3 linked regions of the Saccharomyces cerevisiae S288C genome follow. The protein of the gene in region 1 binds, or shares a complex with, the protein of each later gene. Each region holds a gene or a part of one and is shown in the gene's direction. Other genes may lie near its edges.

Region 1 (9,501 bases):
TAGTTGTTCGCTATATTCGTCACACTGCACGAACGCCTTAGGGAAAGAGAAAATTGACCACGTAGTAATAATAAGTGCATGGCATCGTCTTTTACTTAAATGTGGACACTTGCTTTACTGCTTAGGAAACTACTTATCTCATCCTCCTCCATTCCCTCTCCTTTTCCAATTACCGTAATAAAAGATGGCTGTATTTACTCCTCCATCAGGTAATAGCAATTCCACCGACCATACTCACACACAAGATGACCACGACAAAGATGATAATGATATCAAGAAATTCTACATAAGGCCAAGTTTAGGCTTAAAACTGTGGGGTCCGCTCGTACCCGCTCCTGATAACCTACCGGGACTATACACTCTAATCACTATCCAATCTGCAGTGGGTTTCTTTGCCCTTTGGAGACTGAGAAGGCTCTACAAACTACCGCCACCGCGCCGCATTGCCACTGGCACTCACTCGGATTTATCCTTTGGCGAACTACCCAGTGAAATGATTGTCAATGGCAAGACTAAAATCAAAAAGGATATTGCTGACTTTCCAACTTTGAACCGCTTCTCCACCACCCATGGTGACATTGTGCTCGCCCCTCCTCCCATCATACCTCGCCAATCTCGATTCGTCAGCGTCAGAAAGCTCTTATGGGGGTTGTTTGGCTCTTTGCTACTTTCTCAGTCACTGTTGGAGCTTACTCGCCTGAACTTTCTTAAATACGACCCCTGGTGCGACGAAATGAAATCCGTACGTGACAAGAAGTTTTTCAACAATATTGTCAAATATTATCACGAGGGCATAGACCCCACCAAAATAAAAGTCAAGGATGCTATGAACGGTACTCCTCTCTCGACAAATATCCCTGAGGTCAAACAAAGCGTCGCTCTCGCTAGAGCGCAAGTTGAGGCGCAGAATCCCATTATTAAATGGTTCGGACCCTTGGAATACAAGCCCATGTCTTTCAACGAGTACCTCAATCGCATGGAATTTCACTTGGACATGTTCGAGTTTTTTCAAAATAAAAGAAACATTAGAGAAAATTCCATTGAACTCATCAATTCCATATCCCACAATCCGCAGTCTTCTTCTACTGGCCTTGAAGGTCTTTCCGAGTCCAAAAAACTCCATCTACAAAATGTGGAAAAAAGACTGCATTTCTTAGCATCTTCGGGAGATTCCATTTCCGCACCAGTAAAGAAGAGATCCAGCACCACACTCTCCCGAGGTGTCATTTTGCCCCATGACACGAAAGGCCCGCAAGATATTGATCTCGATACAATAAGATCGCTTTATGATCCATGGATGACTTTGGCCTTAGAAACTTCGCTAAGCATCAAATTCATACCAACTACCATGCCCTCCCATACCAAGACACCCACTAGCACGGACCAGCCGTTACCAGGGCCTACCCCCAAGGCTCTCACTAATGAAAAGACACATTAGGTCTTTGCGGATTGCTTAGTTGTACCGTGCGTATATTAAATCCTTCTTCGTACACCGTGATTTTTCAGACGGCTACCAGAGAAAATATGGCTGGGATTTCATATTATATATGCAAATATATAATAACATATATATATATACACTCCATTAATAACTAATACCTACATTCATATCAACACTTTCATCCTCCCCTTCCCCCATAGCAATGAAGATAACGTGTACAGACTTGGTGTACGTCTTCATTTTACTCTTCCTAAACACGAGTTGTGTCCAAGCCGTTTTTTCAGATGATGCATTTATCACTGATTGGCAACTGGCTAACTTAGGTCCTTGGGAGAAAGTCATCCCTGATTCTCGAGACCGCAACAGGGTTCTCATCTTATCGAACCCTACCGAAACTTCCTGCTTAGTTTCTTCGTTTAACGTTTCTTCCGGACAGATTCTTTTCAGAAACGTTTTACCCTTTACCATTGATGAGATTCAACTGGATAGTAATGACCATAACGCAATGGTTTGTGTGAACTCTTCAAGCAACCATTGGCAGAAATATGATTTACACGATTGGTTTTTACTAGAGGAAGGCGTAGATAATGCCCCTTCTACGACCATTTTACCTCAATCCTCATATTTAAACGATCAAGTATCTATTAAGAACAATGAACTACATATTCTCGATGAGCAGTCAAAACTGGCAGAATGGAAATTGGAGTTACCTCAAGGGTTCAATAAAGTGGAATATTTTCATCGTGAAGATCCCCTGGCGTTAGTGTTGAACGTTAATGATACCCAATATATGGGATTCTCTGCCAATGGCACAGAATTGATCCCCGTTTGGCAAAGAGATGAATGGTTGACTAACGTGGTAGACTATGCTGTATTGGACGTCTTCGATTCTAGGGATGTGGAGTTGAACAAAGATATGAAAGCGGAACTTGATTCAAATTCGCTTTGGAATGCTTACTGGCTTAGATTGACAACTAATTGGAATCGCCTTATCAACTTATTGAAAGAAAACCAATTCTCACCAGGACGTGTCTTCACTAAACTCCTAGCTCTAGACGCTAAGGATACCACGGTATCAGATTTGAAGTTCGGATTCGCCAAAATCTTAATTGTTTTGACGCATGATGGCTTTATCGGCGGCCTTGATATGGTCAATAAGGGCCAACTTATCTGGAAACTCGATTTAGAAATTGATCAGGGCGTCAAAATGTTCTGGACGGATAAAAACCATGACGAACTTGTTGTTTTTTCGCATGATGGGCATTATTTGACAATTGAAGTTACTAAAGATCAACCGATTATCAAATCAAGATCCCCCCTATCTGAAAGGAAAACTGTTGATTCCGTTATTAGGCTGAATGAACATGATCACCAGTATCTGATTAAGTTTGAGGATAAGGATCATTTACTGTTCAAATTGAATCCCGGCAAGAATACGGATGTACCAATAGTTGCCAACAACCATTCTAGTTCCCACATATTCGTCACAGAGCATGACACGAATGGCATTTATGGCTACATAATCGAAAACGATACGGTAAAACAAACTTGGAAAAAAGCCGTAAATTCGAAAGAGAAAATGGTGGCATATAGCAAGAGGGAAACAACAAACCTAAACACTCTTGGTATTACACTAGGTGACAAATCGGTTCTTTATAAATATTTGTACCCCAACCTAGCGGCTTATCTGATCGCTAATGAAGAACATCATACAATCACTTTTAACTTAATTGATACCATTACAGGAGAAATCCTCATTACCCAAGAGCACAAGGATTCTCCGGATTTTAGGTTTCCAATGGATATTGTTTTCGGTGAATATTGGGTCGTTTATTCCTATTTCAGTTCTGAACCTGTTCCAGAACAAAAGTTAGTAGTGGTGGAATTATATGAGTCACTAACCCCAGATGAGCGTTTGTCTAACTCAAGCGACAATTTTTCTTATGATCCATTGACTGGACACATTAACAAACCTCAATTTCAAACTAAACAATTCATTTTTCCCGAGATTATCAAAACAATGTCCATTTCCAAGACAACGGATGATATTACCACAAAGGCAATCGTTATGGAATTAGAAAATGGACAAATCACCTACATACCAAAGCTTTTATTGAATGCAAGAGGTAAACCAGCAGAAGAAATGGCCAAGGATAAGAAAAAAGAGTTTATGGCTACCCCATACACGCCAGTTATCCCAATTAATGATAATTTCATTATCACTCATTTCAGAAATCTATTGCCAGGATCCGATTCGCAGTTGATCTCCATCCCAACCAATCTGGAATCCACAAGCATTATATGTGATCTAGGCCTTGATGTATTTTGTACAAGGATCACACCTTCGGGCCAATTTGATTTAATGAGTCCTACTTTCGAAAAGGGTAAATTGCTTATTACTATATTCGTCTTGTTGGTGATCACGTATTTTATCCGTCCTTCTGTTTCAAACAAGAAGTTGAAATCCCAATGGCTAATTAAATAGATATTTACATACACATTATATATATCAGATACACATTTCAAGGCTCCTTATTTTGGCTTTCTTTTTTTTTTTTTTTTTTTTCCCTGGAAGACGTCATACTCGTGGTTATATAATCTCCTACTTCTTTGGAAAATGGACACTTAATCAATGACGGTTGATAGCAGTACGTGCACTAGCAGACTAATATGAAGAAGACGTTCGAGCAGTTTCGAAAAAGCAATTTACTATTTCAGGTTCTCAAAGGACCCCAGCATCTAGAATGTCAGAAGTTATTTGTCCTTGATTCTTCATTCAATCCACCACATCTGGCCCATTTTCAACTACTATCGCAGACTATTAAAAACTTCAAATTGAAGGACACCCGTTCGCATGTTTTATTACTGTTAGCGGTGAATAATGCAGATAAGTTGCCTAAGCCGGCATCTTTTCCAACTCGTCTGGAAATGATGTGCTTATTCGCTGACTACCTTCAGGAGAAGCTCCCCCAATCTGTAGTATCTGTCGGGTTGACTGTTTTCTCGAAATTCATCGACAAGGACAAAATATTACATGAGCAATTTGTTAAAGGATGCAGTGCAGATATAGGCTACTTAGTTGGTTTTGATACAATTGCTAGGATCTTTGATGAAAAATATTATCATCCTTTAAAAATCAGTGATGTAATGGAGAGCTTCATGTCGGGATCTCAATTATATTGCTTGGCGAGAGGCGATTGCCATCTCAGTGCTGAATCGCAACTAAGATACGCCAGTGACATCCTTGAGGGAAAATTCGAACCGGTAATACCAAGAGAATGGGGCGCTAGGATTCATGTTATGCAAAATGATTATCCAGCATTAAGAAATGTTTCATCATCCGAGATTAGGAACAAACTGAAGAATGGGCAAGTGGAGAGTTTGAAAGACGAGTTGCCATTGTGCATATACGATTATTTGATCAATAATAAGACAATATTTGATTGAAAGAGAAAGATAGAAATTCAAATGCCTTTCATGGAGATATATGTATATAGATAAAGATAATATTAGGAACAAAAAAAACTTTCTGTTATACTAGACTAGTAATCTTAAAACAATAACATAGCAACAAGGCATGTACCAAAAAGAAGGGGGTCCAATTGCATGCTTGGATTTGCTGAGTTCGCGTATTTTGAAATCACTCTTTTCTTGGAGTCTTCACCTTCTTGCGTTAAATCTTTGTACCCTTTTTCTATGATTGTACCATCCTGTTTAACATTCAGCGTATTTTCCTTCTTACCAGAAATACAAGTGAATTTCCCACCCCTGATGATTGATCTTCCATTTGATGGGTTTGTCCATTTATTGCAATCCAACACGTTTGATGAACTCTTAATAAAAGCGCTACCTTTCACCAGTTTCAAGCTATCGAACATGATATCTTTGAACGAACCTTCAAAGAAAATAGCACCTCCAATCTGCTTCAAGTTTGGCAGGAAAGTAATATCCTCGAGGGATTCGTTATCGGCGATCATCAAGCCACCTTGAATGTCTGTTAAGTTCTCCAAATTAACTTTTATTAAATTTACATTGTTGATAATTCCTAATGTTCCACCAATCTTCTGCAAATTGTTCAGGTTCAATTCGTAAAAGTAATTTTCGATGAACTCTAAAGAGCTTTTCACTTTTGTTAATTGTGGAAGGTAGACCAATGATGTGTCCCTAATCGTTATGTTTTCCACTTCTCTCAAGTGTGGCATTTCAAGTTCTAGCTCCTTAGCGTTCGCATGTACACTGAATTGTCCCCTAATGGTTTTAACGTTCGAATGAATAGTTTCTAAAAATCTGTTATTATTGATATTGAAAGTATCAATTTCCTGAACCTTGTTGAAATTCTCGATGTTTGCTAATGAAGTATCCGATATGACAATATCCTTTATAATCTCAATATTCTGAGAATCCATGGAGACGTAGTTCAAGATGGGAACAACTTTCCACTCCAGTGACTGACAAAATTTCAAAGTTGGAATTTCAACAGAAACCAAAGAGGTTAGTCCCTGTAATTGGAAGAGCCCTTCGATTTTATTCAAGTTCCCGGCTTGGATTCTGATCAGTTCAGGTGAATCCTGAATAATCAGGTCACCACCAATGGCCCTCAAGCTGTTCAAATCCAAAATGTTAGAATCATAGTTTGTGACTTTTAATGACCCCAAGATGAATTCACATTGGTTTTGTAAATGAAAAAGATCATGAGACGATTCAATGACGTGCAAATCTTTTTTACACAACTCTGATATCGGTGAGTTTGTGTTCAGACTCTTGACATCTATTTCAAAAAACGGTTCATTTGCTCTTCTTTGAAGTTCGAGATTACCGTTATGAAAAGGCTTCACATTATGTGGTCGCCTTGGCGGATCAATAGCGGCACCCAATGCATGTGTCACAAATAATGATGCAAATATAATCGCGAATAAACAACTTTTCCTAGTAATACGGTTCATAAGTCGATCAAGTAATGAAAAAATGGCTTTTGGTTTTCCTTGTTGTATTTCAGATGAGATATCTTACCAACAGAACAAGTTTCTCTATTGTATGTCACAAAAGGATATAGCTTCTCCAAAATCTTTCTTTTTTATATTTTTTTTTTTTTTTTTTTTTTTGAATTAGTGACGCATCTTCTGTACAGTAAAGAGAGAAAAAAAGGGTATAATAAAACAGTTAAGCTATACTATAGTAGCGCATACACACAACGTATATACATCTAGTATTAAATATTAGTAATTATTAAATAACGAAAAAATAAATTATGGTTGAAATAGAATCAAACGTAAAGAACAAAGAAAAAGCTTAATGGAACGAAAGTTAAAAAGCTCCCCAATTTTGAACAACGGTTATGGAATTAGAAAGAAAGAAAAAAATAAAGGAAATAAAAATGTTCCTAGAATAAGAAGGCAACACCGGCAGCGATTGCTGCTCCAAAGGCACCCGCCGCCATGGTATTAACTACGGCTTCGCCAATCGAAACTGTCGTAGTCACCGAAGCGGTAGGAAGAGTAGTATTTGGCTGCGTAGCATTTGGCTGCGTAGCATTTGGAGTAGTGGCGTTAGGTTCAATGCCAACTTGGGCGTTGATAGCAGTGACTGTAGCTAGAACAGCGACAATGTTTTTGATTTGCATTATTTAACGGAAGTATAAGGTTTGAAAAGGGAGCTTTAATTGTTTTAGCCGTTATCGATTTAGCGGTGAGAATGAAATAAAGAAAAGAGGAAGAAAAGACATTACATACAAATTTTTTTCAACTTAAATGGAGGTTATGTACTTTCTTATATAGATGCTAATCTTTTTTTTTCATCTCATCACAGATTTACGTCGTCAATCTACTAACTTCCCTTATCTTCCCTAAAGGGTATCTTACGTTTCCCCTTAGGGAAAATGAGTTTTGTCCCACCTTCCCTTTGGGAAAAGGCAATGTAAATCTTAGAGGCAAGAACCACACTTGTTGATAAGATCAGCTGCGTAACAGTGCGCTAGGCAAAGGGATGGAATAAGATAAATCCCTTGTTATCCCTTTGCTTTTAGTCTTATGTTGGGGAAGTCCACAAGTTATTGTTACATAAAGGAGGAGAAGAAAACTAGGGGAATATTTATAACACTCGCATTAGCTGATCGTAGGAAAGCAACACAAAACATATGCATCAGCTGGCCCTGTTTGTCTTGCTCATCGATTGATTTTGCAAGCAAAGCTGGGATACCCGAATGTGTATGGTTTTCCTTTTTTTGGTATTTTTCTCCTATAAACGAGCTTTTTTTCGTCTTGCATTCAGATTTAAATAGCTGCTTCTAAATATATACTTTACGCAAGAGGGTCCGGTCCCAATAGGAACCAAGCTATTGCAATTCCAGGGTTCAAGAGAGAAAAATCTGTAATCACTTCGAACCAATGTTTAGTAAATACCTCGTAACTGCATCTTCCCTCTTTGTGGCTTTGACCTCTGCAGCATCTACCGTTGATCTAGATGCTCTGCTTCTTCTACCAGGGGTCGAGTCCCACGACGGCGTTGATACTGTATTTTCGACCAAAGACTTTTATCAAGTGTCATTCGTCAAATCCATTGCTCCTGCTATCGTAAACAGCTCCGTAATCTTCCACGATGTTTCTCGTGGTGTGGCTATGGGCAATGTCAAGAGCAGAGCAAGTATCTTCAACCCAGAGGAAACGTATTACGATTGGGAACAGTACCAAGTAGTAAATAACGGAGACTGGCGAACCGAATGGGCACCTGCCTCTGACTGCATTTGGAGGGAGGAGAAGGATAACAGCGACGAAACACCGGACAGATTCCCCATCTCGGTGCCATATAATTGGACGTCACAGTACTCAATTGTAGATTATGACACAGACGCTAACGAAGACAATTTAGATTTCAGGTTTATTAAATCATTGCTAGATAAGAAAAATTGGTTGAAAAAAATTAACCAGACTGTTTCCCAATCCAGTATTATGGTAGCACCAATGATTAGGCCATACAATGTGGTCCAGCTTTGGTATTCAAAAGATATGGTTTGGGCAAACGTCCAAAGACAATATTGTAGCGGTGTTTATCCAGGAGGGACTCAATGTAGCGCTTGGTCCAGGTACTACCATGTTGATGCACCCACCTGCGATGAGCCTGTCGCCTCTTACATGACCAAAATGTTGGAAAATGAGGTTCAGTGTCCCAATGAGAGAAACGCAACTACCCTAGAGCCTCTCCGCCTGAATAAGCAGGGAGACTCTGATTTTTCTTTGACTTTCGAGGAAGAGGAAGAGGAAGAGACAGGATCTAAATCTCTTTGGAGTACATTGAAAAAAATTTTCTCTAAAAGAAGTATAAGTTGATCTTAGTTGGTAGCACTTTGATGAGGTCTCTAGCAAAAAGTCTACAAACAAATTCTTGAAAGTGTTTGATTGTATATCGATATATCAGAAACATACATATGATTTTTATCTTGTGAATATTCATCAAACTCCGTTTTTAGCCCCCGTGTAAGTTACTTTAATGAGTATTTGATCCTTTTTTTTATTGTGTTGGTTTTTATATGTTTTGTTATGTATTGTTTATTTTCCCTTTAATTTTAGGATATGAAAACAAGAATTTATCAAAGAAAAAAATCTTAGCTTTAAGAACTACAAAGTAAATAAAAAATAATAAATCACACCGGACAGTACATGAAACTGGACATATTTGAGGAATTTCTTTTGAAGAGTTGAGCATTCAAACTGGCCGGTCTTGCTGTGGCCTCAATCCACTTGAGCTCCAAAGAAGGCTCTGAAATGCTTATTTTTTTCAAGCGATACAAAGTAAACAGTTACATACCTGAATGATACTACCACAACTATTTACATTATCGTCCTGTCAAAAGGCGAATAATCAGAACTGTTTGTTAACATGTCATTTTATAAGAGCGGCCTGAAATACTGTCATAAGTGGTCTGTCGAAAGTAGTTATTACGGCGTCGGGCGTCGCGAATAGCTCAAAAGTCACCCCAGCTTACACGATATTCCCATAACCTACAGCAAGAAGCTATTCTTGGATACAAGCACCAGTTACAAGCACTGCATTCATATATTGCCTTT
Region 2 (2,755 bases), on another chromosome or scaffold:
TTGAAATTCCTTACGTCAGTGAAACGCAAAATTTGAAAATACGTAAAAACCCTACCATTGGAGATTTATTCAAAATTAAACTTCATGACCTTGGGTTTTTTCCAAAGTTTCTACAATTATTCTTAAGATATCCTTGGAATAACTTTTGGCACAACATTGTATTTGATATTATTCAGCAGATATTCAATGGTCGAATGGATTTTTCTTATAACTCATTTTTGGTCTATTCTTTGTTTGATTTCAAAAAGTCTACAAGATTTATCCCAAAACCTTTGTACGGCAGCAACCAAAAGTTACCTGTTAAAGACTTCCATATTATCTCTGATTTCATTTTACAAGGCCACAAGGATTCGTTTGAATTTTACGAAAAAGAGAAAACAAATTTAGGTTATATGGGTCAATTAGTATTAATTGCCGAAGAAATTGCGAAGTATTCCAAAATTTATAAGACCGATCTAATTGCTCCAGATATATATGCCTTCTTACAAGATGAAGTTTGGATGTCATATTCTAGTGACATCTTGAACGAAACAAGGACAATGTGTTCAATAATTCTTGGTGGAGGCCAGTTCTGTGCCGAAAGCGATGAAAATACTAACCAGGACTTTTTGGAAAAAGCTGATATGAGTAAACCAGCTCATCCATCCACAATGGATGAGAATGAAATTGTTCACGAGGAGGATGTTAAGTTGCATGATAAAGTTGCCGAGCTCATAGATGAATTGGGTCAATTAACCGAATTAGATATTCATGATAAAATTAAAGATGTTATTGTTGATCATCATTCCGACTTAAATTGATTAGGTTAAGTCGTCAAACCAATTTTGACTTTTTTTTTCCTACATTTTTAATATTTTGTTTCTCGTTTTGCCTTATTTAATTTTGTGACATGTAAAAATTACGAAGCCTATTGGGGGCCAATTGAAGTAAACTAAATATAACAATAGTCCTTTGTAGTTCAGGAATGTTCACCAACTATTCACCAAAAATTATTGTCTAGCTTACTTTCAATAACTTATAGCTATCTATACAAAAATAATCATATAACTAAAGTCAGGCCCAAACCAGGCAAAACAAAACCATAATAATGGGAATTATTACACTATCCGGCAATGTTCTACATTTATTGAAAGCCTACCCAAAAAAGGGCCTTGAAGAGGTTTCTCAACCAGAGCCTAATACAGCAAATGATTCCTCGACTGAATATAAAGGAAAAAGCAAGGATGATTTTCAAATGGTCGAAAAATCCAATACAGATGAGAGATACAATTTTACAAGAACGAAAAAATGGTTTTTATTGATGACCTCAGAATATTACAAACTAATGGAAAACAGACTTTTAATGTTTTGCATTATCGCTTGCTCTTTTATTTGTGCTATCCAATTTCTTTTCTTTATAATTTATTGGACCAACATTGTTCCACGGAAGACGCAAAGGGCAATAACTAACCTAAATTACGATTATTTAACAGCCCATCTAAAAGAGCAATGCGTTCCATATGCGAAAATTCTTGACCAATGTATTCTCTAGCAATCTCTGCTTTTGTACATTCGTAGTTTTTTCATGTTCCTTTCATAAATAATAAAAAAAGCGTATTCTTTTCTATATAAATAGAATGAAAAAAAGTTGAACATAATATCAGTTAAGGTTAAAATAAAGCCAAACGATATAAGCAACAGAAATGAGTGAACAGGAGCCTTACGAATGGGCTAAACACCTATTGGACACCAAGTATATCGAAAAATACAACATTCAGAACTCAAACACATTACCTTCACCACCAGGATTTGAAGGTAATTCCTCTAAAGGAAATGTTACAAGAAAACAACAAGATGCTACATCTCAAACTACTTCTTTGGCACAAAAAAACCAAATAACAGTATTACAAGTACAGAAGGCATGGCAAATTGCGTTACAACCAGCCAAATCTATTCCGATGAATATTTTTATGTCGTATATGTCCGGTACATCCTTACAAATCATTCCTATAATGACTGCCCTCATGCTACTCTCTGGACCCATTAAAGCAATATTTTCAACAAGGAGTGCATTCAAACCAGTGTTGGGTAATAAAGCAACACAAAGTCAAGTGCAAACTGCTATGTTCATGTATATCGTATTCCAAGGCGTCTTAATGTACATTGGATACAGGAAACTAAATTCAATGGGTCTCATTCCTAACGCTAAGGGTGATTGGCTACCCTGGGAACGAATTGCTCATTATAATAATGGATTACAATGGTTTTCCGATTGAGAGCGTATATACTTATATAAAATATCTATTCTGTTTCATATATGATTATTGTTTTACACTCTTATCTTCATCCTTTCGGAATTTCGATTCATAAAGCTGTTGAACGTTGTATTTACGATATTTGGTTTTATAATCCCCATCGACTACACACATTCCGATATTGCTCTTAAAACATTCCACTAGAATCAATTTATCATAGTTCTTCAAGTCCACAGTATGATTAAACTCAGAACCCTCTTTATTGACCAGCTTCACAACTTGATTAATGATGTCCATTCTTTCAATCGTATTGAAATTTCTTCTTGTCACTTCTACAGCAAATTTATAATTTTTTTTAACATTCGAAGGGTCATGAAAGTGTGGCCCAATAACCAAATTGGCCAACTTGATTAATTGCTCCATTTTTGCATTACAAGAGTACGTAATAGGTGTTAATTTCTGAACATATCTAGTACGTTTAACCATATTTTTGGGATCCGCTAAGTCTTTCATGATACTTA
Region 3 (3,259 bases), on another chromosome or scaffold:
TAAATCTTCTTCAGAATTAACAGAAAATTTTTCGTGTTTAGAAGACGCTCCTTTTGTGTCTGTATTTATGCCAGTATCATCTTCTCGTATAACATTGTCATTATCTGAATCTATACCTTTGAGCAAATGTGATGAGGTTGGTATAGGTATGTCAAATGTGTTATGTCCTTGGTTACTGAAACTGAATTCATCTGTGCTGTCATCTAAAATAGCATTCTTTCTCCCTACATCTCTATTTTTTATGATATGGCTTGTAAAATCTATAACCAAATCCTTATCTTTGTTGTCTCCGTTGGCAGAATTATTATTAAGGGAGTGTTCGCTATCTTCCTCATCAAAGATTTTTCTAGGCGATATTCTCTTAAACTTTCTTTTCTTTTTTATAGGTGACGATGATTGGGTTAGCTGGACATTTGGACGTTTGATTTCTTTTGCAGTTGGTGTCGAAATAACTTCTTTCTTATCTGCTAAAACATCACGATTTATATTGCCCTCTTCTAATGTAGTGCTTCCATTTTCCATGTTGATTTGTTCTTTTTCTTCCACACTATTACGTTTTACATTTTCGCCTTGTGCTCCATCAAGCACACTTATATTATGTTGAATAACAGATATATCTGTCTTCTCATTATAATCGTCAAGTTGAGGACCAGTACTAGATGGAGGTGACTCAAATAAAGGACACTGCCTTTGAGAAGCGGTTTTCGTGTTGATCACTTCTCTTTTCCCATTTTCGCCTAAAGTTGGAGAGACTTCGCAATTTTTCGTGATACTGTCATTGTCATTTTTTATTCTCTCAAATCGATTACGTGTCTGAAAGAAATAACAGTTCCCATTTTGAGAAACCTTATAATGTCGGCTCATCGGATCGTCATTTATTGACCAACCTTGTAACAACTGTTTGCAATAAATACAATAACAGGTATCGTTCATAAGTGTTTTATCCATGCTTGGATCGCCTAAGCCTTCTATGCTGGAGTCGTATCGCATGAGTCCTGCATTCACCATCTTTTCTATACCCAGCGGATGTTCATTTTGAGAACCACTGTGAGGCCAGTTATCTTGAAAAGTAAATTTTCTTAGGTTTATCACGTTTTCATCATCTGGATTGCTGAAGTACTTGTCATTTTTCCAGTCCGAAACCCCCATATGGAAGCTATAGTCCGTCAATAGCTTATTGCGCAAGTAAATAAGGAGGCAAACTTGTTTGTTATCAGTAACAGTCAGATGTTGCCTCATTATATTGCTTAGAGTCTCAAGAACATCTTTTCTTTTGGATCTGCAGTCTCTCACATTGTATGTTTGACGATGACAATAGCAACATCTTACAGAGTCTTTTTTCAGTTTAGATGTCTTAGGATCGATCACTGGATCAAAGTAAAATCCAAGCTTGGCCATTGCCTGATACGGAATAACTTTAAAACTCCACTTTAACTTTTTTTTTTCAAGTGCAACACCATCTTGGAAAGTCCTTAACCTATTCTCCAGTTTGGTCATGCTATATCGCTTCTCCATTTTATCTATTTGACCATCCATAATCCCATGAGGTATAAACAACCGATGTGTCCTCGAATGTTGCACGCCCAGAGAACTTTAGCTAGGCTTTCAACACTAATATGAAACCTCAATCAATCTGAAAGAACTATAGGACACACTATAACTAAAAGTGCTTGATGACCTTGACCGATGTGTGAAATGGGTATGTATTGCAATATTATACTAAACTGTTAATCTTCGTATCGCGTGATGTGTTAGAAGCGTTGACTAGTGAAGTTAAGTAAAGAGATTTGGATCGTTAATGAAATAAATAACTATGTATGAATGAAAGGCATTGGATCGCATTGGAACGGAGAAAATTATAGAAAGCAGTAGATAAAACAATGTTGAAGGATTTGGTTAGAGAAAAGCTTTTGACAATTATGAATACCAAAGCGTATACTCAATTTAATCCAGAACAATTACTGCAACTAGAAAATGAAATGAAAATTTACATGAAAAGCGGAGACTCTGCACTAACAGAAGGAAACTATTTCTTCTTGATGGAAATGCTTTTCTATGTTTTGGTGTACCGAAACCAAGACGTTGATGCGCAAGTTGTTTATAATACATTAAGAGATCGTCTTGGTGAAAATTCGTATAAAATGGTAATCATGAAAGCCACTTTATTGCAGATAAACGGAAATGATAAAGGCGCTATTGAATATCTGGAAAATTTGTTGAATGATGATCTGGAGTATGAAACGGACTTCGTTACTTATGTCTCTATTGCAAAGAAATTGATAGCTATCAAGACAACTTCCAAGAACTTGAGCCAAGAAAGTGTTCTTAAAGAAGTGGTAGCTCTTACAGATAAATTCCCGCTTGATGCAGAATTGTGGTGGTATGCCAGCGAGATTTATTTCGAAATGGGCCAATTTGAAAAAGCCTGTTATTGTTTGGAACAGGTCCTATGTATTACACCATTCAATTACGCTTGTTTTGGTAGGCTAAGTGAGACTCTGTATTATGAGGCTCTACGTAGCAAGAAACAAACCAAGACCGAGCTCTTGGAAAAGGCATTAAAGAATGCTTTGAGGAGCGTTGAACTTAGCGAACTATACCTAAAAGGGTGGGCATTGGTTAACATCATTTCTCGCGAACTGGGACGTAATAAACAAAATGACTTGATCAAACTATCTGCATCGAAGCTAAAGGAAATTTCTGCGAAGTCTAACAATAAAGATAAGATTACCGCTGAATTAATTTTGAATAAGATATGAACGGAGCCAAAATTAGAAGAAAAAAAAAGATAGGGTGAGAGAGGATATGAAAAAGCATGTATATTTTTTTTTTTTTTGGATTCTATTACTATCATTACATAAGCGTACAACAAACACTATTTGAGTTTGACATTTGGCTATTTTTTTGAGCATTTTTCAAACCCTCTATAAAATGATTTGATCCTGCTACGGGGTAGCCCCATAGTTCTGGTAATGTATAATCTTTTGTATTCGAGGTATAGTTTATTATTGTAAGACATGCATTTGAAGCAGTAATTCTTTCACGGCTGAGTTCTTTCCTCAGTTTATTGTTAAGTTCGTTGATTCTTTTTAACTTCAATTGTTTTATCTTTAAGGAAAGCTGTTGCTGTTGCTGTTGCTGTTCCTGAGGTTGTTGTAAGCGTGGAGAGTTTTGAACTGATGTCATTCTTAGAATTATTGAGAACGTTTGCGATTGCTACTATCCTAAAATTGACAGGTGCTGTCACAAAACATTTCTG

What was found.
Region 2: the proteins of EMC1 (region 1) and EMC4 are in contact, whole or in part, in a cryo-EM structure (PDB 6WB9), measured with the Saccharomyces cerevisiae proteins. Residues at the interface, in NP_009884.1 of Saccharomyces cerevisiae: Ser381 (codon at 2,784), Ile383 (codon at 2,790), Arg384 (codon at 2,793), Leu385 (codon at 2,796), Asn386 (codon at 2,799), Ser424 (codon at 2,913), His425 (codon at 2,916), Ile426 (codon at 2,919), Phe427 (codon at 2,922), Val428 (codon at 2,925), Thr429 (codon at 2,928), Glu430 (codon at 2,931), His431 (codon at 2,934), Tyr463 (codon at 3,030), Lys465 (codon at 3,036), Arg466 (codon at 3,039), Leu471 (codon at 3,054), Leu474 (codon at 3,063), Gly475 (codon at 3,066), Thr477 (codon at 3,072), Asp480 (codon at 3,081), Lys481 (codon at 3,084), Val483 (codon at 3,090), Tyr485 (codon at 3,096), Leu488 (codon at 3,105), Tyr489 (codon at 3,108), Pro490 (codon at 3,111), Asn491 (codon at 3,114), Leu492 (codon at 3,117), Thr512 (codon at 3,177); in NP_011283.1 of Saccharomyces cerevisiae: Gly163 (codon at 2,169), Ile165 (codon at 2,175), Ala168 (codon at 2,184), Lys169 (codon at 2,187), Gly170 (codon at 2,190), Asp171 (codon at 2,193), Leu173 (codon at 2,199), Glu176 (codon at 2,208), Arg177 (codon at 2,211), Ile178 (codon at 2,214), Ala179 (codon at 2,217), His180 (codon at 2,220), Tyr181 (codon at 2,223), Asn182 (codon at 2,226), Asn183 (codon at 2,229), Gly184 (codon at 2,232), Leu185 (codon at 2,235), Gln186 (codon at 2,238), Trp187 (codon at 2,241), Phe188 (codon at 2,244), Ser189 (codon at 2,247), Asp190 (codon at 2,250).
Region 3: the proteins of EMC1 (region 1) and EMC2 are in contact, whole or in part, in a cryo-EM structure (PDB 6WB9), measured with the Saccharomyces cerevisiae proteins. Residues at the interface, in NP_009884.1 of Saccharomyces cerevisiae: Ser749 (codon at 3,888), Asn750 (codon at 3,891), Leu753 (codon at 3,900), Gln756 (codon at 3,909), Trp757 (codon at 3,912), Leu758 (codon at 3,915), Ile759 (codon at 3,918); in NP_012621.1 of Saccharomyces cerevisiae: Glu47 (codon at 2,019), Gly48 (codon at 2,022), Phe51 (codon at 2,031), Phe52 (codon at 2,034), Glu55 (codon at 2,043), Leu77 (codon at 2,109), Arg80 (codon at 2,118), Leu81 (codon at 2,121), Asn84 (codon at 2,130), Ser85 (codon at 2,133), Tyr86 (codon at 2,136), Lys87 (codon at 2,139), Met88 (codon at 2,142), Asp122 (codon at 2,244), Val124 (codon at 2,250), Thr125 (codon at 2,253).

What each region holds. Positions count from the first base shown.
Region 1 is NC_001135.5:39,048-48,548, reverse strand, and holds EMC1 (Emc1p), read left to right. Parts: upstream 1-1,643; coding exon 1,644-3,926; downstream 3,927-9,501. Other genes in the region: MGR1 (Mgr1p), read left to right, coding at 185-1,438; POF1 (nicotinamide-nucleotide adenylyltransferase), read left to right, coding at 4,112-4,888; SPS22 (Sps22p), read right to left, coding at 4,993-6,384; YCL048W-A (uncharacterized protein), read right to left, coding at 6,822-7,061; YCL049C (uncharacterized protein), read left to right, coding at 7,825-8,763. UniProt on the Saccharomyces cerevisiae protein: Part of the endoplasmic reticulum membrane protein complex (EMC) that enables the energy-independent insertion into endoplasmic reticulum membranes of newly synthesized membrane proteins.
Region 2 is NC_001139.9:62,548-65,302, reverse strand, and holds EMC4 (chaperone EMC4), read left to right. Parts: upstream 1-1,682; coding exon 1,683-2,255; downstream 2,256-2,755. Other genes in the region: SAP4 (Sap4p), read left to right, coding at 1-800; YGL230C (uncharacterized protein), read left to right, coding at 1,088-1,531; TAN1 (putative tRNA acetyltransferase), read right to left, coding at 2,301-2,755. UniProt on the Saccharomyces cerevisiae protein: Part of the endoplasmic reticulum membrane protein complex (EMC) that enables the energy-independent insertion into endoplasmic reticulum membranes of newly synthesized membrane proteins.
Region 3 is NC_001142.9:585,995-589,253, reverse strand, and holds EMC2 (Emc2p), read left to right. Parts: upstream 1-1,880; coding exon 1,881-2,759; downstream 2,760-3,259. Other genes in the region: BIR1 (survivin), read right to left, coding at 1-1,536; STE18 (Ste18p), read right to left, coding at 2,854-3,186. UniProt on the Saccharomyces cerevisiae protein: Part of the endoplasmic reticulum membrane protein complex (EMC) that enables the energy-independent insertion into endoplasmic reticulum membranes of newly synthesized membrane proteins.